5 linked regions of the Ovis aries genome follow. The protein of the gene in region 1 interacts with the protein of each later gene in a pairwise test. Links are inferred from orthologs where the notes say so. Each region holds a gene or a part of one and is shown in the gene's direction. Other genes may lie near its edges. The genes, in order: PCBD1, TFF3, HNF1B, HNF1A and FXR2.

Evidence for each region.
Region 2: the proteins of PCBD1 (region 1) and TFF3 interact in binary tests that used the Homo sapiens proteins (3 or more experiments, as listed by UniProt). The two-hybrid records come from large-scale screens. The link is inferred for Ovis aries from reciprocal best matches to the Homo sapiens genes PCBD1 and TFF3.
Region 3: the proteins of PCBD1 (region 1) and HNF1B interact in binary tests that used the Homo sapiens proteins (3 or more experiments, as listed by UniProt). The link is inferred for Ovis aries from reciprocal best matches to the Homo sapiens genes PCBD1 and HNF1B.
Region 4: the proteins of PCBD1 (region 1) and HNF1A interact in binary tests that used the Homo sapiens proteins (3 or more experiments, as listed by UniProt). The link is inferred for Ovis aries from reciprocal best matches to the Homo sapiens genes PCBD1 and HNF1A.
Region 5: the proteins of PCBD1 (region 1) and FXR2 interact in binary tests that used the Homo sapiens proteins (3 or more experiments, as listed by UniProt). The link is inferred for Ovis aries from reciprocal best matches to the Homo sapiens genes PCBD1 and FXR2.

What each region holds. Positions count from the first base shown.
Region 1 is NC_056078.1:26,302,529-26,308,098, reverse strand, and holds the start of PCBD1 (pterin-4-alpha-carbinolamine dehydratase), read left to right. Parts: upstream 1-1,712; 5' UTR 1,713-1,800; coding exon 1,801-1,803; intron 1,804-4,372; coding exon 4,373-4,504; intron 4,505-5,237; coding exon 5,238-5,318; intron 5,319-5,570. UniProt on the Homo sapiens protein: Involved in tetrahydrobiopterin biosynthesis. Seems to both prevent the formation of 7-pterins and accelerate the formation of quinonoid-BH2. Coactivator for HNF1A-dependent transcription.
Region 2 is NC_056054.1:263,245,808-263,251,627, reverse strand, and holds TFF3 (trefoil factor 3), read left to right. Parts: upstream 1-2,176; 5' UTR 2,177-2,221; coding exon 2,222-2,306; intron 2,307-3,886; coding exon 3,887-4,033; intron 4,034-5,307; coding exon 5,308-5,321; 3' UTR 5,322-5,483; downstream 5,484-5,820. UniProt on the Homo sapiens protein: Involved in the maintenance and repair of the intestinal mucosa. Promotes the mobility of epithelial cells in healing processes (motogen).
Region 3 is NC_056064.1:13,734,982-13,740,596, reverse strand, and holds the start of HNF1B (hepatocyte nuclear factor 1-beta), read left to right. Parts: upstream 1-2,262; 5' UTR 2,263-2,439; coding exon 2,440-2,783; intron 2,784-5,615. UniProt on the Homo sapiens protein: Transcription factor that binds to the inverted palindrome 5'-GTTAATNATTAAC-3'. Binds to the FPC element in the cAMP regulatory unit of the PLAU gene. Transcriptional activity is increased by coactivator PCBD1.
Region 4 is NC_056070.1:63,316,258-63,321,336, forward strand, and holds part of HNF1A (hepatocyte nuclear factor 1-alpha), read left to right. Parts: intron 1-414; exon of another isoform or gene 415-598; intron 599-688; coding exon 689-875; intron 876-1,674; coding exon 1,675-1,916; intron 1,917-2,773; coding exon 2,774-2,925; intron 2,926-3,035; coding exon 3,036-3,237; intron 3,238-3,856; coding exon 3,857-4,048; intron 4,049-5,079. UniProt on the Homo sapiens protein: Transcriptional activator that regulates the tissue specific expression of multiple genes, especially in pancreatic islet cells and in liver. Binds to the inverted palindrome 5'-GTTAATNATTAAC-3'.
Region 5 is NC_056064.1:27,151,831-27,157,680, reverse strand, and holds the start of FXR2 (RNA-binding protein FXR2), read left to right. Parts: upstream 1-2,329; 5' UTR 2,330-2,697; coding exon 2,698-2,778; intron 2,779-5,850. UniProt on the Homo sapiens protein: mRNA-binding protein that acts as a regulator of mRNAs translation and/or stability, and which is required for adult hippocampal neurogenesis. Specifically binds to AU-rich elements (AREs) in the 3'-UTR of target mRNAs.

The sequences.
Region 1 (5,570 bases):
TCTTCGCATGAGGTGGCCAAAGTACTGGAGCTTCAGCTTTAGCATCATTCCTTCCAAAGAAATCCCAGGGTTGATCTCCTTCAGAATGGACTGGTCGGATCTTCTTGCAGTCCAAGGGACTCTCAAGAGTCTTCTCCAACACCAGGAAGATCTCCAGTAACACAGTTCTTCATGTCTCGGCACAGAAAGAACTCAGTGAGAGGCAAAGTGATAGATAAGAAGTGATTTATTAGAATAAATAATGTGAGGCTTACAAGCAAGTGGGCGAGAGGATGCCATTCCCCAGAAGTTAGTGTGCTACAATTTTATAATCAAAGGAAAAGTGGGAAGGAGAACTTCTCTGTCTTTCCTGAGTAGGTGTCATGCTTCCATCATCAGTTCCTCCTCCAGGTTGGGTAGGGAGTTTTCTTGTCCCTGCATGGTTAAGTTAGGTTCACAAATTATTGTGGTTTTTTGGTTGTTTTTTTTTTTTTTTTTAATCTGTGCAGAGAGCATGTCCTAGGGATCATTAACTTACTGAGTTCCCTGGGCAGGATGTAGGTCTCAAGCCACCATTGTTTCATTGTTTGGGGGCATGTCTTATGCTTCTGTTGCATGGTTTAGCTGCTAAGTAAGCCTACTTGGTTTTGTGGTTAAGCAAACCTGCTCTCCTGAGTAACCATTAACTTACAGGGGTCTCCTATACTTTTTTCTACTTACCATCCCCTTGTGGGATTAACTATTTAATCACGTACTCTATCCCTTTACTCTGTCCCTATCAAAAAGGTATTTAACATCATTAGTCATTAAGGAAACTCAAAACCACAGTGAGATATCACTGCATACCAATTAGAATGGCTAAAATTTAAAAGACTGACATGGCAAATTTTTGTGCACCTGTGAAGGTGGGGGGGAACTCAAAGTCTCATACACTACTGATGGGGATGTAAAATAATCTGACCACTTGGAAAAGCAGTTTGGTAGTTTTCCTAACAACTTATAAGCATATACCCCTGCATATGAAAGAAAAACGAAAGCATATATGCACCCAAAAGTTTACAGCAGCTTTAACTGTCAAAAACTGGAAACAACCCAAATGTCAGACAAATTGTAGCATTTCCCAAATGTCCAACAAACTGTAACACTTCCAACACAATGTAACACTATTAAATAACTATTGATATATGCAAAAGCGCAGATCAACCTCAAAGTAATTATGCTGAGTGAAAGAAGGCAGATATAAGAATGGAATGTTTTGTCCATTCACATATCATTCACATACCATTCACATAGAAAATGCAACCTTATCTATAGGGAAACAGGTTAGGGGTTGTCTGAGTTAGGAGCAGGCTATCTAGGGGTTATGTCTATGTTCATGATCTTCATCGCGGCGATGCATACCACGTGGTGATGCATGGTTGCACAGATGCCTACTACGTCAAAACGCATCGAAGTGTACCTTTGAAATATGCGGAGCTTATTGTGAGGGTCAGTTTCTCAATGAGGTGTTTGTAGGAAAGAAAAAGTAATCTCGCGCCCAGAGTCACATAGGAGGCGGCACCGCGCGATGCAAATACTGAAGTCCGCGTTTGGAGCCCGGGTCCTGAACTCCCCCAGCTCCCTGTAACTTTGCCTCCGAGGAAAGTGCTGGAAGGGAACCTCAGCGGTTGTTAATGATTACCGGTGGGCGGCTCCTTCTCGGCCGCGCTCCCGCCTCGGGGCGGCCCGAGCGCGGCCCCGCCCGACGGCTTCCGAGAGCGCCGGGCGTCGCGCCGGTGGACTCCGCGGCCACCTGCTGCTGCTGCCGCCCCCGCGTCCGGCATGGTGAGGGGGCTCACGCGCTGCCGCCGTGCGGGCAGCGGGTTCGGCGGGGACGCGCGGGAGGAGCGGAGGAGGGCCGGGGCCCGCACAGTCTCCCCGCCCAGGCCAGAGGACCGCGCTGGGCGTGCGGGGGAGCCTCCCGCCCAGGCCTTAGCGAAGCAGCCGCGCGCCGGGCGGGGGGAGTCGGGGTCTCGGTCCCGCCTCCACCCTACCCGCAGTGGTGCCGCCGGGGTCGCTGAGGCCGAGAGACGGGCGGTGGCAGGTTCAGTGACAGCCAGCGGGGAGCCCAGGCCAGAGTCCGCTCAGGGCCTCGGTGCCTCGGGCAGGGAGGGGGCGGTGAGACGGGGATGGGGAATGGCCGCACAGTTAGCCCGGAGACCTAGTCCCCTCGGTGGCGCGGCCCTGTCCTATGGGGGCTGGCGGGGGCGGGGTGCAGCGGCGAGGAGACCGATGCCTGTGTGGGTGTGCAAAGCAGGGGCGGCTGAATTTCCCGTGTGCCTCTGCCTGCCTGTTTACTGTCCTTTTCGCTTGCACTTCGGGGCATGAGGTCTAGCTGAGCCCCCTCTGCGGAGCCTGGACCTCAGGGCCAGCCTCTGGCGCCTAGTTTGAGGCCTGTGCCCGGCAGTGGGGACGTGATTGCTCAGGATCATATGCCCTCCAGGCTGAACTTTCTGGGAGCAGAGTGTCAGGCCCTATGCTCAGCTATAGAGATGAAGGTGAACCTGCAGGGCAGCAGGAAGGGACGCTTCTAGACCCAGACCTTTACTAAACAGCAAAAACGTTAGGCTCCAAAGCATCAGGAGCAGCTGGGACTGCGGTGACACCTGGGAGGGCACTTTGGAGACCTTGGCTTGAACATAGGGGAGGTGGTGGGTGAGCTGATTGTGAGGTACACTGAGGCTCCGCAGCTGCAGGGCGTGGGTAATCAGTAACCCCTCTGCACACCCAGAGGCCCAGGCCTGGCCTGGGATTTACTAAGCTAACACTGCCCCTGCTCCCTCTCTGAGCCCAGATCTCAGAGGGGTTTGTCAGTTCAGCCCCAGGCTGTGAAATGTTGGGGATTCCAGAAGACTCTAAAGAGAAAGGGGAGCCTCCTAGGAGCCCGCTAGTACCCATGCACTCCTTTCAGAGTCAGCGTACTAGGTAGTAGCTTCTGATGCCTTAGCTGCCATCTGGTTGCCTGGATACATAGACCAGGCTTATCAGCCACTGAGACAGGGCCAGGCTGTGGAAGAGAGACTGGGTTGAATGGTGATGTAAATCTCAGCTGTCCTTGCTGATCTTACAGAGCCTAGGAGAGGAGACGGACCCATCCAGATCTGTCCAGAGAGAGCCCACGCTTTTTAGGAGGGAGAAAACTGTTGAGTTACCAGGACCCTGCAGTGTTTTGTTCAGTTCTAACCCACACCTGAAGGCCTATCATAGACCTGCTTGCCTCAAGAAGTCTCCTTTTAAAAATGCAAATAATATCCCCTCAATAGCAATGGAGTTAAGTGTCTCCTGGCTCCCCTTGCTGATTCCTAAAGTGGCAGTTCTTGTACCTTTTTACCCTTCAAGCAGGAGAAATGAGTGCCCCCAGGCCACCTGGCTTCCAGTTTGCAGGCTGCCTTATCAAAACTAAATTAACCTCCCTCATATTCTTTTCCCAGACCTAACTAATTCACTTTTAATTTGGTTCCCGACAATGTCCATCCTTGGGTAATTCTACTTCACAGGCCTAAATTCTAGGATCCCTTAAGCTCCTCCACCTGGATCTTTTTACGAGGCTGGAGCACGGACCTTTCCTTTCTTCTGTTTTCCAAGAGAAGGTTCCCCTCATAGCCTGAATGGTGCCAGTTTGGGCTGCCCCAGGGATATTTTGCACAATTGGAAAATAGGCTGAGGCACTGCCCTGTCTGTTTGCCCTTGGCCAAGTTACTCCTGCTTCGGGCCTGAGCTCTGGCTCAAGCTGACAAGCTGACAAGCTGAAAAGAAGGTAGAAATTAAAGAAACATAGGCCTGGCAGCTGGGAACCAGAGGCTGTGTAGCAACGAGGTGGGGTACCCACTGGGAGGTAGTGCCAATAGCTAAGAATCTCCTGGGATATGTTTTAAGTGCTGGTTCCTTTGCCAGTCCCCAGGGATATGGACCCATCTTGAGAATGATGCCTGTGCTTTCACTAACAGGGGAGTCGGGGAGAGGGGGCTGTCATTTCCCCTCTCTAGGCCTGTTTCCTCTTCAGTTCACAGTCACAGTAGGATTTGCTTTTATTCTCTCATGAATGAAAGAGATCTGATTTTTAAATGGAGAGGTGCCCTCTGAAAGCTCTGAGGACAGGCGCAGGGAGGAACGTTTCTCTGCCCCGGTGACTGGCGTTACACCTCAGGACTCTCTGTTCTCTAAGAACCTATCAGTGCCCGAGCCAGAGCCCCTCCTCCCAGTCTGTTGCGTTAGACAAGCTGCCCTTTGACTGTGTTACCACAGCCACCAGTGGAGGCTGGCTAAATTTCCCCAACAGCCCAGGGCCCTCTCTTTTGTCCTGTTTAAAGGGGGGGGGGAGTGCCCTTGAGCGTCTGTGTTTTCCCTCTCCTAGGCTGGCAAAGCACACAGGCTGAGTGCTGAGGAAAGGGACCAGCTGCTGCCAAACCTGCGGGCCGTGGGGTGGAACGAGCTGGAAGGCCGGGATGCCATCTTCAAGCAGTTCCATTTCAAAGACTTTAATCGGGTATGACTGGGGTGGGACACAGTTCCTGAGACCGGGGCTGATGGGGTCACACTCCAGAACGTGTTCCCTCCCTTAGAGTACTTTAAGCCAAGACTCTCAAGATGCTGTGCGAATCCAGTTTGGTTGTCTTCATCCAGTTTAGCTAAAGATAGGCCCTGGGCTGTCTCCATTTTCTGTGTGTTAGTCGCTCAGTCGTGTCTGACTCTGCGACCCCATGGACTATAGCCTGCCAGTCTCCTCTGTCCATGGGATTCTCCAGGCAAGAATACTGAGTGGGTTGCCATGCGCTTCTCCGGGGGATTTTCCTGACCCAGGAATCGAACCTGGGTCCCCTGCATTGTAAGCAGATTCTTTAGCCACCAGGGAAGCCATGGACTCTCCATTCCTGGAACTTTTAGAAATAGTCCTAAGAGGAGACAGTTCAAGTGGGAAACAGGTGACTATTTGAAGACATTTTAGTAGATAACCTAAAGGTTGGCCAAGACGCAAAACCTCTTTGGGATTTCCGCCTTCTTAGTGGTCCTAGTGATAAGACTTTCTGCTGCAGAAGGACCACCTCAAACTCCAGCCTCAGAGCTAGTGGCAGGGCACCAGGAGGGATGCTTAAAGCTAGAAAGGTTACCTTGTAGGGATCGGGGCCATCCTCCTCCTTCTGGGCCTCACACTGGCCGTAAAGAGAGCCCAGCTGTCCTTTCTCTCAGAATACTAACCTGGGTCTTGCTTCATTAAACAGGCTTTTGGCTTCATGACAAGAGTGGCTCTGCAGGCTGAGAAATTGGACCACCATCCCGAATGGTTTAACGTGTATAACAAGGTGAGTGTTGCATGCCTTGAACTCCAGCTCGCTCTGAGGGCCTCTCCCTTGGACTTCCTTGTGGGCCCTCCTCACTGACATAGTATCAGCTCCTGTTCCTTTCATCTCCTTCCTAGAATCGACATAAACGGCCCCTGGAAAATACTCAGTCTCACTACAGATTTTAAAAAAAATGCAAACTAGAACACTAGTGAGATAATGTGTGGTTAACATAGACATTAAGGAGGAAAATCCCAAGGAAGGAAAACCCGT
Region 2 (5,820 bases), on another chromosome or scaffold:
CACGAGACCCCACGCTCCCCACTCTCCCCGCCAGTCAGGTGCAGAGGGGGCTGGCGTCCTCGATGGAGGAGGAGACCGCAGGGTCCCACAGAGGCAGGTCGATCGCAGCTCTGCCAGGCCTGCTGGGTGACCTTTGGCAGATGGCCGGTAACAGAGAGGAGCAAACCCAACTCCATACTGCAGCTGATCTTCAGCTCCAACCTTCATGCCTATGGACGACGGATGGACAGATGGGTGGATGAATGGCATGCGTGCTCATTTGTGTCCGACTCTTCGCGACCCGCTGGACTGTAGCCCTCCAGGCTCCTCTGCCCATGGAATTCTCCAGGCAAGAATACTGGAGTGGGCTGCCATGCCCTCCTCCAGGGGATCTTCCTGACCCAGGGGTTGAACCTGCATCTCTTGTGTCTCCTGCATTGGCAGGTGGGTTCTTTACTGCTGGCGCCACCTGGGAAGCCCTCTTGTGCTCTGTGGCTGGAGCCTAATCATGATGCCCCTTCATCTTGGTACAAGTAGGTCACCTATAGCCTGAAATATGCAATAGCCCCTTCTCAAGGCTCTGCCTCCCAGCCTTAACCTTTAAAGGTAAAACACATTTCATTCACATAGAGATAAAAAGTTGCAGAGCAGAGAATGTTTGTCCTGTTGGAAGTTTACAAGAACATGGTGCCTAGACCTGTGTGGGCTGCTGCAAGAAAAAAGGTCCGGGGTCTAGCTGGTACCAAGAGGTTTGCAGCAACCACCACGCCCCTCCCCTTTTAGTGGAAAGAAACCTGAATTCTAATTCAGCTAAGACAGTTCTTTGGAACATGGGTCCACCATCTTCCTGGATTCTTGGCTTTCCAAATGAAATAGCTACTGTTGCTCCAAAACGCATCTCTCGATTTATCAGCCTATTATAGCACCAGTAGTATGGATTTGATAGCAACATTTTGAGCCTTAGTTTGTTCCTCTGCAAAGTGGGTATAATTATTCCCATTTCATTTAGATGTGCTTTTTAATTAATTACTTTTGTTTTTTTGGTTGTGCTGGGTCTTCCTTGATGCACAAGGGCTTTCTCTAGTTGTGGAGAGCAGGGGTTACTGTCTAGCGTGGTGTGTGCACCTCATCGTGGTAGCTTTTCTTGGTGTAGAACACAAGCTCTCGCCTCAGGGCTCAGTCGTTGTAGCACAGGGGCTCCACAGCTGTGGCTCGAGGACTCTGGAGCTCGAGGGCTTCAGTAGCTGTGGCAGATGCGCTTTGTTGCTTCACAGCAAGTGGGATCTTCCTGAAGCAGGGACTGAACCCTTGTCCCCTACTTTGGCAGAACAGATTCTTAACCACTGGATTGCCAGGGAAGCCCCTAGATATGTTGTTATAAAATAATTTCTAAGCTTTAGCTTTCATATTAAAAAAAATGGAAAGGAAGCTGGGCAAGGTAGAGTAAGTTCCCTTTTGTGTGAACAAATGTGCTTAAAAGTACAGAGGACATTCTGGGAAAATACCTAAGAACGTGTGAAACTTGGACAGTGTCACACAGAAGGGGCAGAGCCTTCTGTACTGTCTGCCTTTAACAACCAACTGCAGGTATTGTATCTTTATTAAAACATACTCAATAATTAATACATTTGTTAAAATGTAGTTGATAAAAATAATTTTTTGCTGGAGAAAAAGCAAAAAATAAAGAAAAAGCACTTCTACATTTCAAGAGCTGTGACACAGAAATGAAATCAGCACACCCCGTGTACCTGACTTGTAGTTGTCACCTGTCTTTTCAAGTACTCGAGGTTGGCCTGGGATTAAGTGGCCTGGAAACTCATGTCACTGAGCAGGGACCCTCCTGACCTGCTCCTGGGTGGGTTGTTGGGTGGTGCCCAGGCCTGGCGATACTTCCTTGAGCCTCACACTGAGCCTTTGTTCTTTCCTCCTGGCCAGGCTGACAATGGGCGTTGACCCTGCTCTGGCTCCCTGATACAGAGGTGTTCACAGGCAGCTGCATCTGCCATCGCCCCTTACTCGCTACCACAAAACAGTGGGGTGGGAAGCACCTCTACCCTTGGGATGGTCGAGCCTCTGGGGACTTTGTCGTCTCGTGCAGGGCAGGAGTGGGCGGGGCTGGAGGGAAGGGCTCCCAAACAAACAGAACCCGGAGTGCCTGTGTAAACACAGCGGTATAAAGGTGTCTTCTTGGGCAACTCAGCATGTTCTCTGAGCGGTCGGGTCCCCGAGCCAGCCTGTGACCATGGAGGCCAGAACATTCTGGCTGCTGGTGGTGGTGGTCCTGGCCTTGGGGTCCTCCAGTTCGACCGGGCAGTACGTGGGCTTGTGTGAGTACCGCTCCAACCCCCTCCCACTGGGCAGCAGGGAGGAGGAGGGTCTGGGTGGCAGAGTGGGAATACAGGACAAGGGGACAGGACATGGAAGAGCCAGGCTGGGGGCTTTCTGTGGGCTAGAGGAAAGTGACCAAGCTCCTTAATAATTTAATGATTGCTACTTTAGCTACTGGACACAAGGAGCTGACTCATTGGAAAAGATCCTGATGCTGGGAAAGACTGACGGCAAAGGAAAGGGGGGTGGCAGAGGGTGAGATGCTTAGATAGCATCACCGACTCAGTGGACTAGATAACTCAATGGACGTGAGTTTGTGCAAACTCCAGGAGATAGTAGAGAGCAGAGGAGCCTGGTGGGCTACAGTCCATGGGGTCGCAAACAGTCAGACACGACTTCATGACTGAACAACAACAAGCTTACCAGACACACACATTTTCTCTCAGCAGCCCTACAAACTGGGTCTTGCTGTCCCCATTTTGCAGACAAGGAAACTGAGCTTCAGAGAGTTAGTAAATGACTCTGCTGGTCAGTGTGGAAAGCAGGATGGGAACCCTGGTAGCCACACCAAGCCTACCCTCCCACTGCCTTCTTTGCTGGAGACTTCTGAATTAACAGTATAGGTCTTTCTACATTATTCTGACACATTTGCAAAACACAAAGAAAAGACAAATGAAAACAGCCACTTCCAGAACATTTTCAATACCTACAGTTTTCATTTAGCGACTCAATTGTAATTCCAGGTGGGGCATGGCTGTTCCACTAATTGGATTTTGCAGAAATTAAAGTGTGGCTTTTATCAGGTTCTGAGTGGTCTCAAACTCGGCACCTGGAATCACCTGGAAGCTTTTAAATCTCAAAGCCCAATAGGATGTGCCAACTACATCAGAATGTCTCTGGGTGGGAGCAGGTGTCACTGGTCCTGACCCCAACGTGAGCAAAGTTTGCCCCAGTGGAATAAGGACTTATGATTTGGCAGCCGTAGAAGCAGATTCTAGGTTCCCTGTGAATTCTATTTTCCTAAGGAAAAATCCGGTTAAGGCATGAGGCACAGCGGACTTTTGCTGAGCTTCTGACATAAAGGCTTATCTGAAAAGTGAATCATACAGACCCACAGATATACAGGCACGGTGTGTCAAGGGAAATAGGGAGAGGCAGAAAATAGCACAGGTTGCGGTTTTCTCACTTGAATGCCTACCTTCTATTATCCTATTCATTTTTAAGGAGGAAGATCTGTGGGGAAAACACTGAAGGGGAACTTTGTTTCCGGGTTCAGGGGACCCTGGATTCCTGTGGGTACCTGCCTACTGGCGGGAACCCAGGCTCCACAGGTGCTAGGAGCAGCCAAGTGAGAGACCCCGGGCAGCTGGCCAGATCTTTCACAAAACCGTTCTCCTGAAATATTTATGGGGAAAGAAGGCCCTGGAGCAGCAGATGTTGGGAGAGGGGTGGGGTTGTATCCTATGAACCGGGAGCTGGGGGTGGGGGGTGGGGGGTGGGGCGTGCGGACTTGTAAATGCGGCCGGCGGACCAACCCCAAGCCAGAGAGGGCTCTCTGACCCGGCTTTGTGTGGGCCAGCGGCGAACCAGTGTGCGGTGCCGGCCAAGGACAGGGTGGACTGCGGCTACCCCGAGGTCACCCCCGAGCAGTGCAACAACCGCGGCTGCTGCTTCGACTCCAGCATCCCCGGGGTGCCCTGGTGCTTCAAGCCCCTGCAGGAAGCAGGTGAGCCCTGGGAAGCCACACACACCTGGGCCCTGGGTGGGCCCCCCTATGCCACAGCTGTCTGCTGGGCAAGGGGGGGGTGCTTCCCAGGTGGCACCAGTGGTAAAGAACCCACTTGCTGATGCCGGAGACACAAGAGACGTGGGTTCAATCTCTGGGTTGGGAGGATCCCCCGGAGGAGGGCATGGCAACCCACTGCAGTTTTCTTGCCTGGAGAATCCCATGGATAGAGGAGCCTGGCGGGCTGCAGTCCAGGGGGTCACACAGAGTCGGACACGACTGATCATGCATGCACTTAGTTTTTCATCATTTCAGAAAGGTGTTCAGAGTCAAGGCCTTATTAGAGGGAAATAGTTTAAAAGCTCCTCTGGAGAAAAGTGGACAATACCTGGGTTTGGAAAACTGGGCTGACTTTCAAGGCTGTTTTCAGCAAGCACCCCACTCAGAGTCTCGGTCATTTGTGATCTGTGACGTGCTCTCTGTCTGGACGTGGAGTCCTGGCATGTCTCCCCACACCGCCACTCCCCTCCTGCCCCCACCACGAGGGGCTCCCCGTTTCCTGGCTGGGGCGGTGGGGTGCAGGGTGGCCCCGGGGGACCCCGCCCTGGAGCAGCTGGCAGTGCCCTGGGTGCTCTGCTGTCCTGGCTGTGTCCCCCGCCCCCTGGCCCGTCCCCCATCTCCACCCCTTTGGAGGTTGCCGTGAGCCATCTGGAGCCCAGGTGCCAGCTCACCTTCTAAGAGGCACGTACTACTCCATGAGGCCCTTTCCTGGAATCGGCACAATGGCAGGGGAGTGGCGGGGGAGATGGGGGCATGCTTGCCCTTTGTCCCTGGGGAATGACAAAGGCGCCTGCATTCCAGCCAGCCGGTCTGCCTCCCTAACCAGTTATGGGGGTGGGGGGCTACCCATTGCCCAGGGCTCCTCCCCTTCCCACAAAGGTCCAGATCAGGCTCTGGGCCCAGTGGGGAGTCACCCCTGTGCCGATCATTACCCCCTCCACCCGCTCCTCAGCTCGAGATGATACTTCTTTGAATTCTAGCAGCGGCCCTGTCTGGCCTGGTCCATCTCAGGCTCCATTTGTCCTGACCCCTGGGGTATCCCTGGGGTATGGGCTGTTCTCCCAGGAGGTGGGGACTCGACCCTTCCCCAGGGACTTGGCAGAGAGACAGCACACACCACTGACCTTGGAGCTGGTCTGGACCTGGAGAAGCCAGGCAGCGGTGGCTGGGGACCACACAGCTGAGGGTGATGCTTGTCTGTGCTTCATTTCCAGAATGCACCTTCTGAAGCTGCGTGGCCGCCTGACACCCAGGGAGGGGACCTCCGCACTTGGGTACCTAGCCTGCCCACCCTCATCCCTCTGCTTGTCTCACACTGCTCCTGGCCAGGCCTGAACCAAACGCCTGGGGCCTGATGTCTTAAAGAATAAAGCTCCCGTGCTCAGCATGAGGACAGGTCTTCATTCCTAAGAATTGACGCCGCTGTGTTTTATTTCTGCCAAGTCACTCTCTCCCTTCTCAGCCTTCCACTGATGGGGGCAGGGGGCGGTGTCTTAGCATCACCTAGCAGAGGGTCTGCCCTAGGCCTGGGGAGCAGGGAAGGACCCCAAAGTAGCTCCCTAGAGGTGAGGATGCTGCAAACCTGTGACCTAGTGTTGTAGGACAGATAGTGTCACTTAGAAACTTAGAAGGTTTCTCACCTACTAAGCATCACTTAGAATGGCGTTGAGAAACACCATTTCAAATGTACGTTCCCCCCAAAAGGTTATTCATGACGTTCATGGTAA
Region 3 (5,615 bases), on another chromosome or scaffold:
GGGACAGAGAAAAAGTGATTGTTCTCCAGGGACATTTACTCTGAACACTTCATTATCCCTGCTGAGGGGAGCTGGGGAGGCAAAAAATGTTCTCCCATTGGGCTGAACAGTGAGGGGCAAGGAGGTGCCATATGTCACAACAAACTCCAAGACAATAAGGTGAAATGAAGAGCCCTCGTTTCTATGAACTTCTTACCCCTTTCTCTGGGAAAGACATTGAGATGCTGTAAAGGTCACCCAGAGCTCCGTGCACACAACCACCCCTTTCTCGTGGGTGGTCCAGGAGTGCAGAGCAAGCCCTGTAATTTAAAAAGTCAACCTAGGTCCTTAGCAGGGCTTCCCTGGTGGCTCAGTGGTAAAGAATCCACCTGGCAATGCAGCAGACATGGGTTCCATCCCTGAGTGGGGAAAAGTCCCCTGGAGAAGGAAATGGCTACCCACTCCAGTATTCTTGCCTGGGAAATCCCATGGACAGGGGAGCCTGGTAGGGCTACTGTCCATGGGGTTGCAAAAGAGTGGGAGACAATTTAGGGACTAAACAACAACAACAAGCTTCTTAACAGCCTGACTTGGATCAACCACATCTGAGTTTCAGCCCTGGTACCTGAACCAAGCAGACAGATCTGATGACCCTCCCCAATCCCACTCCTATTCCTGCTGAAATTCTCCTCCTCCTCCTAACTGTCTTTAAAAGGTGGGAAAGTAGGGAGACTTTGCTTAGAAGCTCTTTTGCAAATGCCCTGTTCATTCTGAATGTTTGTCCCTAAGCTCCCAGGCCCTCCAAGCCCAGCGCTGAATTTGCTTGGTTCTGAGAATCCTGAACCTCCCTAGGGGCTGCTAGATTTCACTATTAGGAACCGACTGCCTGCCTTCTCAGAAAAGTGTGAACACTGATCCTGGAATACAGGGTTTCACAGGTGGGCTTATTCAATGTACACAATGCCGCATCCTCTGGGCTTTAGATTTCAGTATTTCTTAGGTGATGAACCTGAGGCTTAGAGAGGGGAAGGAGGTGTCCTCTGCCCCAGGAACTATGGGACTGTGAGCCATGGGTCCTAAAAAGCCCCTGCTGCCCTGGATCTTCTGCAGGTCCTGGGCAGCCTGGAGTCGGAGCACCTCGGGGAGATGCCGGTGAAACTCCGATAGCGCTGAGAGGTTCCCGGCTTCCTTCCTGGACCGGGCCGGCGTGAGCAATCACTTCTGTCCCTCGCTGGCTTGGTCGGTCCCTTCCCAACTAGGCGTGGGAGTCGCCAGCCACCGCCGCCTTGACCTCGCGTCCACAGAGATCAATCTCTGGCCCTGGGAACTGCTGTGTCCTGGAGCTGCGAATAAACCAGAAATCAGTGCGCCCAGAAGACGTGCGGCTTCAACTGTCCAGCCAGTTTTCACCGCCAGAACGGAGGCCCCGCAATCCCAGTTTTGCCCCGAAAGCGCGCTTTGAGATTCTGGGTTTTAAAGCCCAGGGGCCCGGGCGTCCAGCTGCCCGCGGCTTGGCCAGGCTGGGTGCCGGTGCGGCGCCGCGGCACCCAGTTAGTCGGCGCCTCCTCTTCCCAAGGGTCCTCCCGGCCTCCTTCCCGCTGGCCTACGCTCTGCGGCCGACAGTTCTGCAGATCCAAGCCGCCAGCCCCGGCGCCCGGAGGCCTGGGGTCGGCAGAGCGGTAACCCAGGTAGAACTCAGGGCCCGCCACCCGCCCGGCATTCCACACTCACCCCCGCCCAACACGCCCCTCTTTCCCCGGGTCCCCGCGTCCACTCCCCTGCGGTCAGTTTCTTCCTCCGCTCGCCCGGCTCACCGGGCCCACCACTTGCAGGTTGGTCGGGACGCGTGTGAGGGTCCCGCTCCTCCGTCTCCTTCTCCCAAGAGCACCCCAGCTTCCTCCAGCCCTCACCTGAGCCCCCGAGCACAGTTTCTCCTTCTCTCCGGACTTAAAGCCGGACCCGCCGCGGGTGGAAAAGTCCCGGCGCCTTGCACACCAGGCTGCAAGCTACTTGTTTAACGAGTCCAAAGGTCAGCTGAAGTTTGGCTGATACACGGAAGCGGCGCACGAATCTCTTCAGCCCCCCGGCGTGAACACCCTGGACCCCAGCGTCCCGGCTCCCGGCTCGGGCCTCGGGCTCTCGGGTCTTCCTGTCTCACTCTCACTCTCTCGGTTCCCCTCCCCCGCGCCCCCCCTCCCCACTATTTGCATCTTGCCGAAAGCCGGGCCCTCCCCGCTAATTTGCATATCTTATATGGCCTAATGGTGGCGATCATGGCAAGTTAGAAGTTTTCTGACTCCTCTCGGAGGAGACTCCGGGACCCCGGGGAGTAACAGGTGTCTGGAGGCTGAAGGGTGGGGGGGGTTCCTGGACTTGGGGCTAGCTTGTGAAACTCCCCTCCACCCTCTCTCGCACCCACCCGCCCGCCCCCTCACCCCCTTCTTTCTCTGTCCTTGGAAAATGGTGTCCAAGCTCACGTCGCTCCAGCAAGAACTCCTGAGCGCCCTGCTGAGCTCCGGGGTCACCAAGGAGGTGTTGATCCAGGCCTTGGAAGAGTTGCTGCCGTCCCCGAGTTTCGGGGTGAAGCTGGAGACGCTGCCCCTGTCCCCTGGGAGCGGGGCCGAGCCGGACACCAAGCCGGTCTTCCATACTCTGACGAACGGCCACGCCAAGGGCCGCCTGTCCGGAGACGAGGGCTCCGAAGACGGGGACGACTATGACACCCCTCCCATCCTCAAGGAGCTGCAAGCGCTCAACACCGAGGAGGCGGCGGAGCAGCGGGCGGAGGTGGACCGGATGCTCAGGTAGGCGCGGGCCGAGGTGCGGCGGGGTGCGCCTGAACACCCGGAGCCCCGGGCCCCGCGGCTGAGCCGCACGGCTCCCGACTGCTGTTGCCAAGCCTGGTTCCCACCAGAGAAGTCCCCGGGGGGGGGCGCTCCGCTTCTCTTCCAACACCTGGACCCCTCCCAGCCCCTCAATCGGACGGCCCGAGCCCCGAAACTTCGTGAATTCCTGCCCAGCCCAGCGCCCGGGACTGGCGGGGCCCTGCCGGCTGTGTTTGGGTTCGGCCTGGGAGAACCGAGTTTGCAGAGCCCTTGCCCACGCGGCCGAAGGTGCGAATGGGCGCAGTGAAACCTCGGCGATTCCCCAGTGCCGAGGCTCCGGGCCCTCAGGAACCCCAGGCCACAAGCAGTTCTCCCGGGGAGCCGCATCTGCGGAACCGGCCTGGGGAGCCGCGTCCTGCGGCTCTCTGCAGAGGGACCGGCGGCTCCGGGGCTGGGATCTGGGGGTCGCCTTCTCCGATGGGCGCTCTCGTCTGCAGCGCCCGCGCAAGCCCCCGAGGTTATCCGGGATCCCCAAAGCCCGTTTGGATCTGAGAAAGGAAATGCTTGCACGTTGTCGGGTTGGAGTGGACTCGCAAGGGGCAATGAAACCGCGTCTCTAGCAAGCGAGGGATCAGTGCGTTCAAGCCTCCAGTTCGCCGTGGATTTGGTGGGAGAAAGGAGGGCGTTCCCGGATCTCGCCGCTGACACCCCGGCATCCCCGGGGAATCCAGGCAGGCCGGTTGCCCAGAGGTCTGTCTCCCGGCCCCGGGTGGTTTGCTAAGCCTTTCTGAGCGGCCTAGGGCTTTGACAGCTTGTTACTGTCGCTCCCAGCCAGGCTACTCTGGGACCGAGACCCTCGCTTGGCCTCGGACCCTCCAGCGCCGCAGTCCCCAGGCAAGGCCAGGGCCGGAGTCGCGCCCGGGACCGGGGCAGCCCGGGTCACCCGCCCGCACTGGCCGTTTGGGATGCGATATGACCTTGCATTTGAATTTGCTACCTGGGGACCCGGCGGCTTACTCTCTAGCAAAACAATCAGGGGAATTTCTAGATTTTTTTTTTTTTTTCTAACTTCCCGAAAGTCTGTTGCTACAGTTAGTTCGTAGGGTTTGAGGTTCTTTCTTGCCTAGCGGTTGCCCCCTTAGCGGCGGTTTCTCCCCGGCCCGGGCTAGGGGTGCAGGAAGGTGAGAGGGGTCAGAAGAGAGCGGCTGGGGTGCCGGGGCGGGCCGGAGATTGACCCCGGGCCGGGAGGAACCGCCGATGTCCGGCCGCCCGGCACCGGGGCCCGCGGGGCCTAGGCCCATCCGCCTGGCCGCAGGCACCCGCCTTCCAGCGGGGTTTTGGAAGAAGAACCTGGGGCGTCCCTCGACACCCAGCCCCGCGCCGGGTTAGACGTGGCAGAGATGTAATATAAACTGAAGCACGTGGAGTTAGGGTGTTATTAATTTATTTCTATAAATCATCAACAGAAAGATACACAAAAAGTCGTGATTAGGTTGAACGGAGAGGCGGGTTATTCATTGGTGAAGTTGTAAACGCGGCTTCGAGAGGGAAGGAAAGCAGAAAGCGGCCTCGCGGGGCTGTTCGCGGCTCTCAGCACACACGCACCGGGCTGCCCGGCCCTCCCAGGAGAGCCCCCGCGCCGCCCCGCGCCCCGCGCCTGACCCGGGCTGCCCCGGAGGTCGCCGACGCCGCAGGCCGGGCGGGCACAGAGCCAGGCCGGCCCTGGGCTCCGGACCTCAGCGCTCTTCGCTGCGCAGAGCTCCGGGCTCCAGGGGGCGGAGAGCCAGGCTAGGGGGCCCAAGACCCCCACCGGGGGCGGGGGTGGGGAACACACAGGACAGGCCCTAAGGTTTCTCCTCCTTTCCCCAGCGGCTGCTAACTTCCCTCCCCCACCTTCAGGAGTGGCCAGACTTGATTAAAGTAATTTTTCAAGAAATCGCCAGCGGTCCCCAGGTCACTGCGCAGTTGGCTGCTACACGCCAGAGGCGCGCACTCCGCTTTTGGTCCACCCTGCTCCGCTAAGGCGGAAAGAAAAGAACAGGACAAGTCACTTTGGGGAGCGGCTGGCCGCTCTTTCCATCTCCAAGAAGAGAGAGACGAGGAAAGCGGGTCGGGGCTGCGCGCTGCCGGTTCCGGCCCCGGCTCTAGGCTGGCGCGCGCGGTGAAAAGTTGGAAAGTTGGTTGCTCCCCAAGAAGCCCCGGTGGAGGCTTCTTAAAGAAGAAATCGCGGCGATCGGAGCCGGGGTCCAGGGCCTCTCGGTTCGTGGCATTGTTTGGAAAGGAGCGTGCTGGGCCGACCAGGCGGGCGCCGAGGTCGGGCGCTTGACACCTGCGCCCTGAGGACAATGCCGGGCGCCCTTCTCCCGATCCGTGTGTTTACCGGGGTTGGGAACCCCAGATCACTGGCTGTATTTTTAAATTTCAAAACGCAACCGACTCTTGGGGCTCTTGCCGGTGAATCCATGAGAATTCTGTGGTCAGAGCTATAAAGGTGTAACTACGCCATCTTATCCCCAGCTCTGGTCTTTAATGCGGGCTGAAAGATTTGCTATCGTTTATATAGTTTCCCTGGCCTTTTGTTTTTTGTTTTAAACCTTTCCAGTCGTTAAGCTAATTCACTTTTTCCACGGAATTATTTACTCTCAGAACATTACACTATTTCGGTTAGGTTTCTTAAACACAAAAAATAAATGCTAGTAAAAACTTTAAACAAAATCAAAAATGTTAAAGAATCTGTCGAAGCAGCATTACCTTTAAAAACCCAAATACTTTTTCTAACTTTCGAAGCTGTTGTTGGTATCTGTTGAAGGT
Region 4 (5,079 bases), on another chromosome or scaffold:
TCTGTCCATGGGGCTTCCCTGGCAAGATTATGGTGAACATTGAGGCACCAGGGATGACCCCCGTGCATACATGAGCCATATACTATATATATACACATATATATATTTCCTCTGCTGTTTGAAGGGCAGCTAGCTGTTCTGTTATTTGGAGGTGCCATTAACTGGCCTCCTACCAAAGAATCAGCTGAGAAAGTGGCTGGGTCTCTTCTCTCCTGGCTAATACTTGTACTTTAGGCTTGATTTTCAAGGCTAGAATGTTGAAAATAACTCTTGAATCTACTCAGGAGATACAAGCTCAGGTTTCTGCTCTACTGTGTGGCCCTGGAAAAATATTTAACCTCCCTGACCCTCAGTTACATCTTCTGTAAAATGGGATGGCATACGTGTCCAATGTGAATGAAAGGTGATGCTTACCTGGAGCCTTATATTGAGGACTGTGAGATTATATCGTGGCCCAATAGAAAAGTGTGCAGGGGTTGATTAGTGATGTCTGCCTTGGACGCACGTGAGGCAAAGGGTGACGTGTGTGATGTGTGTTTGTCATCACAGGGGTAGGCGGTTTCTGGGTTCGAGCAGCAAGCTCCTCTGGCTCAGCACCCTAGGAATAAGGAAGAAGCAGAGGCATGCTCAGGCTGATGCGGGAAGGTGGGCTGGCCAGTGTCCTGCTCACAGCTCTCTGTGCCCACAGAGTTCACCCACGCAGGCCAGGGTGGGCTGATTGAAGAGCCTGCAGGAGATGAGCTACCTACCAAGAAGGGGCGCAGAAACCGTTTCAAATGGGGCCCAGCCTCCCAGCAGATCCTGTTCCAGGCCTATGAGAGGCAGAAGAACCCCAGCAAGGAGGAGCGAGAGGCGCTCGTGGAGGAGTGCAACAGGTAGGATGGCTGGCGGTCGGCAGGGCTGGCTGGGTCTGGGCTGGGGAGAGGCTGGGGAAGGTAAGGAGGGCTCCAGATCCTGAGGGAGGCCCCCTGGTTTTGAGAGCTCCTGCTGTTGGCCCAGGAGTTCTCAGCTCCTGTTCAGGGCCTGAAACCTGGCTCTATTTCTGGCACCCACCCCCCACCCAGGGGTCCCCAGCCTCCAAATCTAATGCCTGACGTGATGTGGAGCGATGTAATATTAATAGAAACAACTGTTAATCACTCAGTAGTGTCCGACGTTTTGTGACCCCATGGACTGTAGTCTGCCAGGCTCCCCTGTCCATGGAATTCTCCAGGCAAGAACACTGGAATGGGTAGCCATTCCCTTCTATAGGGGATATCCCTGACCCAGGGATCGAACCTGGGTCTCCTGCATTGCAGGCAGAGGGAAGCCCCAACAGAAGCAGAGTGCACAATGCATGCAATGCATTTGAATCACCCCAAAACCATTCCCCGCTCCCCAGCCCATGGAAAAACTGTCTTCCGTGAAACCGGTCCCTGGTGCCAAAACGGTTAGGAGCTGCTGCCCCGCCTACCCAAGCGCCCCTGAGTGGGGCTGCTCGTCTCACCCGCCCTCCGCTTACTGCGCTCCCTCTGTATGAAGAGACTCAAGAGAGCCTAAGCCATTTGCTCAAGATCGCAGAGCAGACTGGGCTCGGAAGCCAGGTCTGTCAGCTTCAGCTGACTCTCAGGTAGAGAGCCCTGCTTCTCAGAACCTCCCCCAGCCCCAGAAGGCTCACAGTGCCCATCTCTCCAGGGCAGAGTGCATCCAGAGGGGCGTGTCACCGTCGCAGGCCCAGGGACTGGGCTCCAACCTCGTCACAGAGGTGCGTGTCTACAACTGGTTTGCCAATCGCCGCAAGGAAGAAGCCTTTCGGCACAAGCTGGCCATGGACACGTATAGCGGGCCACCGCCGGGGCCAGGTCCCAGCCCTGTGCTGCCTGCCCACAGCTCCCCTGGTCTGCCCCCGCCTGCCCTTTCCCCCAGTAAGGTCCACGGTGAGTGCCATGTGGGCAGGGGGACCGGGCAGTGGGAATATGGGGGTAAGTGGGAGAGTTGGGGAGCACCACCCAAGGACTGAAGCCACACAAGCCACTTGGCACCTCATTATGGCTCCAGCTCTATGCACACTGCCCTATCCGCCCCACCCCTCTCCTCTCCTCTGACCACTCAGCTCCATCCACTGCCCTCTCTTCTGTCCACTGCATTCACTCCAACCCCACTGGATTTGGGTTACAGCAATTCATTCCCGATCAAGCCAACTCAACTGCTTTCAGCTCAGTTCAATTCAACTCAATCCAGTTCAACTCACTATAATCTGAGTTTCATTTACATTTCATACAGTTTGGTCCAATCCCATTCCCAATTGATCCGTTTAACTAAATGTATTTCAAGGAAATTCAGTTAATCTCGTATCGTTCAGTTCAATTTCAATCCAATTCGATTTGATCCAGTTCAACTCAATCAATCTCAGTTCATTTCGGGTTTGCTTCAGCTTGATCAGTTTCATTCAACTAATTCCAATTCATTCTGCTCAAGTTTGCTGCGGTTTAATTTCATTAGCCTCAGTTCAGTTTGGCTCTGTTGTCTTTCACTGAGCACCGACTGTGTGTCTGGTGTAGCCCTGGGCAGTGGGGGCCACAGAGCTAATAAAACACAAAGCTTGTGTTCAAGGGGTTGAACAAGCAGCCAGCACAGGGCCTGGCAGGAAGTGAATACTCCAGCAAAATCTGCTGGCTGCATAGAGAAAGATAGTGTGAGTGGCCTGAACAAGCCAATACAATTAGGGGTGTTGGGGGCCGTGGGCGCAGGCAGGGAAGTGGGGCGCTGAGGCTGGACGTTGCTCCCACTCCAGGTGTGCGCTATGGACAGCCTGCCACCAGTGAGGGGGCGGAAGTGCCCTCAAGCAGCGGTGGTCCCTTGGTGACGGTGTCTGCATCCCTGCATCAAGTGTCTCCCACCGGCCTGGAGCCCAGTCACAGCCTGCTGAACACAGAGGCCAAGCTGGTGAGTGTCCCCCCACCTCCCCCATCTCCCCTCGGCTGGGAGATTCTGGGGCAGTACCCAGGGAGGCAGGGTGGGGCCCCGCCCTGACTCAGTCTGGCTTCCCCTCCAAGGTCTCAGCCACTGGGGGCCCCCTGCCCCCGGTCAGCACCCTGACAGCACTGCACAGCTTGGAGCAGACCTCTCCAGGCCTCAGCCAGCAGCCCCAGAACCTCATCATGGCCTCGCTTCCCGGGGTCATGGCCATTGGGCCTGGAGAGCCTGCCTCCCTGGGCCCCACGTTCACCAACACGGGAGCCTCCACCTTGGTCATTGGTAAGCTGGTGGGGCTGGAAGGGGGCCATCTGGGTGAGGGGCTCATGGAGGCTCCCGCTGAATCCAGGAATAGGGAGAGCCACTGGGACTCATTCATTCATAGATTTATTGAGTGCCTGCCCCATGCTCCACCAGTGACACACAAGTGAACCAAAGAGCCCCAGAACTCAGCCACCCACGTGGGGGAGGCAGATAAACAATACATTAAGTTACACAGTACCTGAGACGGTGAAACAGCTACGGGAAAACAGCAGCGCAAGGGGGACTGACGTTTCCTAGGTTTTAGGGTTTTTTTTTTTTTAAAGCTCAGAGACTTTATTCACAGAACTATTATGCAGAAGCTCAATATATGGGGAAGGGTTACAGAGTTAAGCCCCAGGGCCTTTGCACGGGCTGTGGAACCCCAGGGCACCAAGGAACCCTCTTTGACATACTCCCTGCCCTTATAGCGAGCTAGCAGCTCAGAGAGGGGGAGTCACTTGCCAGGGCCTTAACGCAGTACAAGGCTGTTTCCGGATTACCTCATCCCCTCCTCCAAGCCACAGGCTCTAGGAGGGAGGGATGGTGCCCCTGGTGGTCTCCGAGGCCTGGCCGACCCCTGCCCCTCCCACCACTCCAGGCCTGGCCTCCACGCAGGCACAGAGCGTGCCGGTCATCAACAGCATGGGCAGCAGCCTGACCACCCTGCAGCCCGTCCAGTTCTCGCAGCCGCTGCACCCGTCCTATCAGCAGCCACTCATGCCCTCTGTGCAAAGCCACGTGGCCCAGAGCCCCTTCATGGCCACCATGGCCCAGCTGCAGAGCCCCCACGGTGAGCAGCCCTTGGCCCCCTGCTGGGGGCGGGGGGGCGGGAACCCAGGGGAAGGGGCGGCATGGCAGATGCTGTGGTCTGTGTGTGTGTCTGATACTCACAGAAGTGTGAGTGCCTCTGTGATGGGGGCTCTGGGGGTGCTCAGATGCATGTCCATGGGCTGAATACATTTCAGGGTGTGAATCCATATGGTCATGTGTACACACCCACGTGTGCCCTTGGGGCCATGTGTACCTCTCAGCTCTTAGAAAGGTGATATGGTGCATATACCATGAAGACATACAACACTCTCAGCAAGGCTTGGTCCAACACCCCCTCATCAAACACCACTGTTTCTGCGGCCAAAGGGAGAATTCCATGAAGGGCAACCCACTCCGGTACTCTTGCCTGGAAAATCCCATGAACGGAGGAGCCTGGTGGGCTGCAGTCCATGGGGTCGCTAAGAGTTGGACACGACTGAGCGACTTCACTTTCACTTTTCACTTTCATGCGTTGGAGAAGGAAATGGCAACCCACTCCAGTACTCTTGCCTGGAAAATCCCATGAACGGAGGAGCCTGGTGGGCTGCAGTCCATGGGGTCGCTAAGAGTTGGACACGACTGAGCGACTTCACCTTCACTTTTCACTTTCATGCGTTGGAGAAGGAAATGGCAACCCACTCCAGTGTTCTTGCCTGGAGAATCCCAGGGATGGGGGAGCCTGGTGGGCTGCCGTTTATGGGGTCGCACAGAGTCGGACATGACTGAAGTGACTTAGCAGCAGCAGCAGCAAGGTTAATAGGCTCAGGACCGACTTCGCCACCAGACAAGCTCTAGCACTAACCTGATGAACATCGGTTAGTTTTCAGACCTTTCTGGAACCTGGACTCCTGGATGAGGGATTTGTGGACCTGATGTCTGTGTGCGTGTGGTGGAGGGCACCATTTATGTGTGTCTGTGGGTGGCTGTGTTTTCATCTGAGTCCACACGAGCGTATGTGATTTGTGTCGCTTCTCTGCTGGCGTCTGTGTTTTTCGGGGGCTGGGATTGCAG
Region 5 (5,850 bases), on another chromosome or scaffold:
TGTTTCTAAGTCACTTTTCTCTAGACATCTAATTTTCTCTTATAGCTTTCACGATGTCTAATGTGCTGATGGAATTCCCTAGTAGCTCAGTTGATAAAGAATCTGCCTGCAGTGCAGGAGACCCAGGTTCAATTCCTGGGTGGGAAAGATCCCCTGAAGAAGGAAATGGCAACCCACTCCAGTATTCTTGCCTGGAGAATCCCATGGACAGAGGAGCCTGGTGGGCTACAGTCTATGGGATCGCAAGAGTCAGACACAACGACTAAACCAGCAATATGATGATAATTCTCACATTTGCCTCTCTAGCCCAGACCTGTCTTGGGCTATGTCCATTGACCTACAGGACATTGGTTCCTTTGGTTATTACTTGCTATGCCAGGAACTGTGCTAAGTACTGGGTATACAATACTGGGGACAAACAGACACATGGAACCCAGTCTCTGATCTCACAGGGTTTACTTATAGTGGGACGGCAGAAGACAAACACTGGAGAAATAATGAAAATTATAACTATGATGAGTACCATAAAAGAGTATATGATGCTTTAGCAGCATGAGGTAGAAGACTTAACCTAGTGTGAGCATAATGGAAGGCTAAATAAATTATTTTTAATTGTCATACTGAGTGAAGTAAGTCAGACAGAGGAGAAATATCGTATGACATCCCTTATATGTGGAATCTAAAAAGAAATGATACAAATGAAGTTACAAAAGAGAGACTCAGAGAATGAACTTATGGTTGCAGGGGGAAAGGATGTGGGGAAGGGATAGTTAGGGAGTTGGGGATGGACATGTATGACATATACTTTATGCTCAGTTGTGTCTGACTCTCTGTGACTCCATGGGCTATAGCCCGCCAGGCTCCTCTGTCCATGGGATTCTCCAGGCAAGAATACTGGAGTGGGCTGCCATTCCCATCTCCAGGAGATCTTCCTGATCCAGGGATTGAACCGGTGTCTTCTGCGGCTCCTACATTGCAGGCAGACCCTTTACCGCTGAGCCACTGCACTTACACTACAGCTTAAAATCTTTCAGTGACTCCGTAGTATTGATAAAGTGAAGGCCATTCTCCTTAACCTGATTTATAAGTGCTTCACAGTTTAGCTTCCCTACTTCAAGCCAAATGCTATTTGAACTAGTTGTGGTTCCCCAAAGGACATGTTTTGTTTTTTTCTGCTCCTCTGCACTGTTTATTCCTTGTTCTCTCAAAAATAGTTTTACTGCATTTTTCCTCTAGCAAACGCCTACTTATCCCTCAAATCTCAATTTGCATTACCTCACCTGTAGTGGTCTTTCCCTATCATGCTGAAGGGCAACTGACCATTGTTTGTGTCTTTGGGATTCCCTCTATCCTAGTCCTCATCTTTAACACATCTTCAGATGAACTCTAATCACTTTATTTACTTAAATGTGATTGTCTGCGCCATTTCCAATATATCATAAAATCCTTGTTTTGGGTAACTGGAACACAGTGAGGGCTAAATAAATATTGGCTAAATGATTAGCTGCACACACATGATCCTAATTTCTTGGCTATTTTATTCACTTCTACTTAAATTTCTTACTTAGTTTATGAATCCTAAGCTTCCCCTCAACTATCCTTTCTCTAACAATTTTTCCCATTTTGAAATCTCTCAGCATTTAGATAATAATCTTGTGCCAAATTGCATTTGCCTTTCGGTAGTGTCTTGAAATCTTTCTTTAACCTTTCATCATATGCAGGATCAGAATCTTCTCAAGGCAAGAAGGTGACTCTTAATTTAAATCTTAACGCGCAGAAACAGAAACACTCAAAAGAGTCCATACCGGCATGTGGACTGTAAGGCCCAGAGCACGCGCACTAGGCCCATTTTTGCTTTTCGACTCCTCCTTCCCGCGCCCTCCCCCCGCCTCCCGCCCCGGAGCGTGCGCACCAAAAAGACAAAGGTGGAGAAAGTGACCAAGCAATCATTCAGGCGCATGCCCGTCCCTAACTTCTCCAAGCCTGGTGGAGCGCACAGCCGTGAAGTGGGTGTGGCCTGACCAAGGAGCATCAGAAGCCCAATCCGATTGAGTGAGCTCGGCCCCTCCCTCCCCATGATTGGTTAGCTCTCTGTGTTGTGGGGCGGGGAAAGGCAGAGACTGGGCGGTGGAATGGTGGGGTGGCGAAGAAAGAGAGTCAGTTTGGTTCTGCGCAAGCGTAAATCAGCGACCAGGAGGGGGCGTGAGAGAGGCAAGAGGAGTGTGGAAGCCCTGCTGCGCTGGCCAGCGAGAGCTGGGTCGCCAGCCTTGACGCGTGCGCCGTGGCCCTCGGGGCCCGCGCGCGGCGGGCGGGTGCCCGGTGCGTCTGCGCAGTAGGTGGCGGCGGCGGCAGAGGGAGGAGGAGGCCGTGTAGAGGCAGCGGCAGCAGTGGGTCCCGGGACTGAGGCTGCAGCGGGGGCGGCGGCGGGCGGAAGCTGAGGTGACGAAGGCAGCGGCGGCGGCGGCCGTTTTCCTCACGGTGGCGGAGACCAAGGCGGCGGCGGCGGACGGGGAGCGGCCCGGCCCCGGCCCCCTGCTCGTTGGCTGTGGCAGGGCCGCCGTGGGGCCGGCCCGGCTCCCGCCCCCCGCGGCTCCCCCTCCAGCTCCTCCTCCAGGGAGACGCCGGGGACCTGGCCCGGCCCGTACTCAGAGCGCTGCTGCAGCCGCCGCCGGGGGAGTCGGAGGCGGTGGCGGCGCCATGGGCGGCCTGGCTTCGGGGGGGGATGTGGAGCCGGGACTGCCCGTCGAGGTGCGCGGCTCCAACGGGGCCTTCTACAAGGTGAGGCGGCGCGCCGGCCAGGGACGCGGTCTTCAGCCCCCTCCCTCCAGCCAGAACGGGGAAGAGTGGGGTGGGATCGAGGTTCTGGAGCTAGCCCTGACCCTTAGAACCTTGGACCCACGATCCCACCCGCGGCCCTCCTTGGGGGAGACTTCTGGAAGTTAACCCCTTATTTTTGGCCCCTCTGTTACACCTGCTTTTACCCGCATCTCTGGGAATGAACATCAGGGCATTATTGTGCTTGGATCAGCGCCCCCGCAGCCCCCAGGAGAGACCCCATTTACCCTAGCGTCTTATTGACTTTTCCTGTCTCCTAATAGAAGGCATACCTTGGATCTTAATCACCTCTTCCCCACAGTCCAAGCACATGGAGAATTCTCTTTATTCTCCCCTATTACCCCCTTGGGAAAGCCGTCCCATATTAGATCCTTTCATCTTCCTCGGAGAGGCCTCTGCCTACTGGCTCTGAAAGACTCACTCCACTTTCATCTTATATTTCTGTTCCCACACCAAGGAGAAACGGTCAGAAGCTGTTTATGACATTTAGTATCTTTGACCTCAGGAACTCTGGGCTGTATCAGTCTAGTTGCCTCCTAGCCATAAGGTGGCATCTTTTCACAAGTCTCTCTCACCCCACCCCTTTATTTCCAAGGCTAGTTGGTCTGCTCTTCTACTGGAGGATGGTTTTGTATTTGTCATCTCACGTTGACCTCATACATTCAAATCATTCATATAGTTTCTTCATTTTGAGGAGTGTGAGCTTCATACTCCTACTCTCTATCTAAAATGAGATCTCATGAGGATTACTTCTGTTTATCTTTTTCTTAAGGATTTCCACTTCTAGAAGACTTTTGGTCAACCTGCCCAATTTGGAAACCCAATAGTCTATTTATTTATTTTTTTTAAAGGAGAAGAGGACTGTCTTTACATTTTTAATATTCATTTATTTGGCTGTGCAGCATTCAGGATCTTAGTTTCTGAACCAGGAATCAAACCCATGCCCCCTGCATTGGGAATGCAGAGTCTTACCCACTGGACTGCCAGGGAAGTCCCCTGAATCTATTTTTTAGGACACTTTTTTCCCCATTCATTTATATTAAGCTAGAGGGAGACCCCTCTTGCCTCTCAGGAATTTTTCTTTTGCCACTGTTGTTATGTTGTTAGTTTGAACCGCTTTGTGCTTTATGCCTGGGATTGTCTCAGAGACTTTCCTGCTTCCTGACTTGTTCTCTCATTTTGCCCTCATCCATTATTTGTGAGGACAAGAGCCCCCTTTCCTCCACTTCCCCTCAAGCCTTTCCTCCCGTAGTGGACCTCTCCACCTTGGTATCTTGGAAATGACTTTCCTTCCCTGTGAAGTCGTATCTTGCTATAACTGGAAAGGGTCTCATATTAGCCCTTGGAGTAGGTTTCTGCCCCAGCTTCAATTGATAAGTTCAGTGGTCATCTTTGACCCACTCTAAATGCCTATTCATTCCTGCCTGACTTCCCCTCACCAGATTTCTTTATATTCTTCATTGCCTATGCGTAACCTCATCTGTCTTAATTTCTCAATTTAAGTCTGTGGCTTTTTATCCTAGTATTTCTGCATAATCCCCCAAAACTACCTATTCCATGACCCAGCTAACATGGAAGAAGGAAGCTCCCAATTTACCCCTTCTTTCATTCTTTTTCTACATACTTTCCTAACTCATGGGACTTTTTTCTCTAGCATGCCTCCATACCATTTGTTTTCTTTGGCAAAGTCTCTTAATTCCTTTCTGATTCTGATAGAGTACATTTGTCTCTTATATCCTTTTCCCTCAGGCTTGCTTACCTTTGTTGAAATACCCTTTCTCATAAGATTTTAACCTAATTTCCCACAATATCCTGTCCTTCATCAGGGTCCTTCCCAGCCCCAAGAAAGTGCTTCTTAAATTGAGTCTGAGATCAAGATATAATGTTTGCTTTTGTTCCAGGAAGCATGGGAAAGATCAGTATCCAGTTTGAATTAACCGTGTGAGACTGCTGGGAAGGGGCATGTTTCCCTTTCCACATATAAGTGTCAAGTAGAAAGTCTGTCTCTGAATCTTTCTCTTTTCTCCTGTGGGCTATATGGCAGTGATAGACTTGATTCAGTGAATCAAAGATAGGATGCTTTGAATCAGAGAATAGAATTTGGAGTTCAACTAAAAGCCAGGTAATATGGAGTTTGTATTTTGGCCACTTTAGCATTTTCTGCTCCTTGTCTCATTTGAACAACAAAACATCCTTAAATTCAGTAATCTTTCTTAACTTTCAGTGCCATATACTTACTGAATCTGACCTTGCTGCTGATTTAATATTCATGACTCAGCAGACTTCAGTGTGGTTCAAGGAGTGTTTACATTGCTTCTAGAACTATAAATCTGGGGAGGTTCCGTGCATCTCTCTCAGAAATGGGTCCTGTTGTTTTTTTTCTTCTTACAAGCTAGAACTGAAAATACCAGAAGTTATCTTGTAGCTATCCCATCAACTCTTCCTTTTCTGTCAGAACTTAATGCACATATTTCCTTAAGGTGTACTCTCCCAAGTGAACTATCCGTTCATCTTCTCGGGCATGGCCATCCAACTTTCTAGACCTTACCTGGATATCCCAATACCTACTCCTTTGTTAAGGATATAGCATCCACCTATAAGCCAAAGCCCATTTGCCATGACTGTTGAATTGAATTGAGTCATCCTTTGGATCTAGGTAGCCTTCTAGAGATTCACTTAACTGCTCTTGCCCTCCCTTGCTTATCTTCTCAGTGAGCATGGATTGAGCAGAACGAGGAACTCACTTTCTACCACTGGTATCTATGAAGGAAAAAACTGGGATAATGTGAGTGGAATTAAGGAGCAGAGAGTGAATTGGAATATGAAATTGAGGAGAAAGCTTGTTTTGGAGAATCTTTGACAAAAAAAAAAGACCTTAGAAGTGTAAGAATGAGTGATGTTTTGTTGAACTGCTGAGTAATGTGAGGGAAAAGTGCATTTTTTGTGAATGATTATATCTAGGAGTGGGGAATCTCTTCACAAAAAAGGCAGGCAAGTGACTCTCTTCTATCTTTT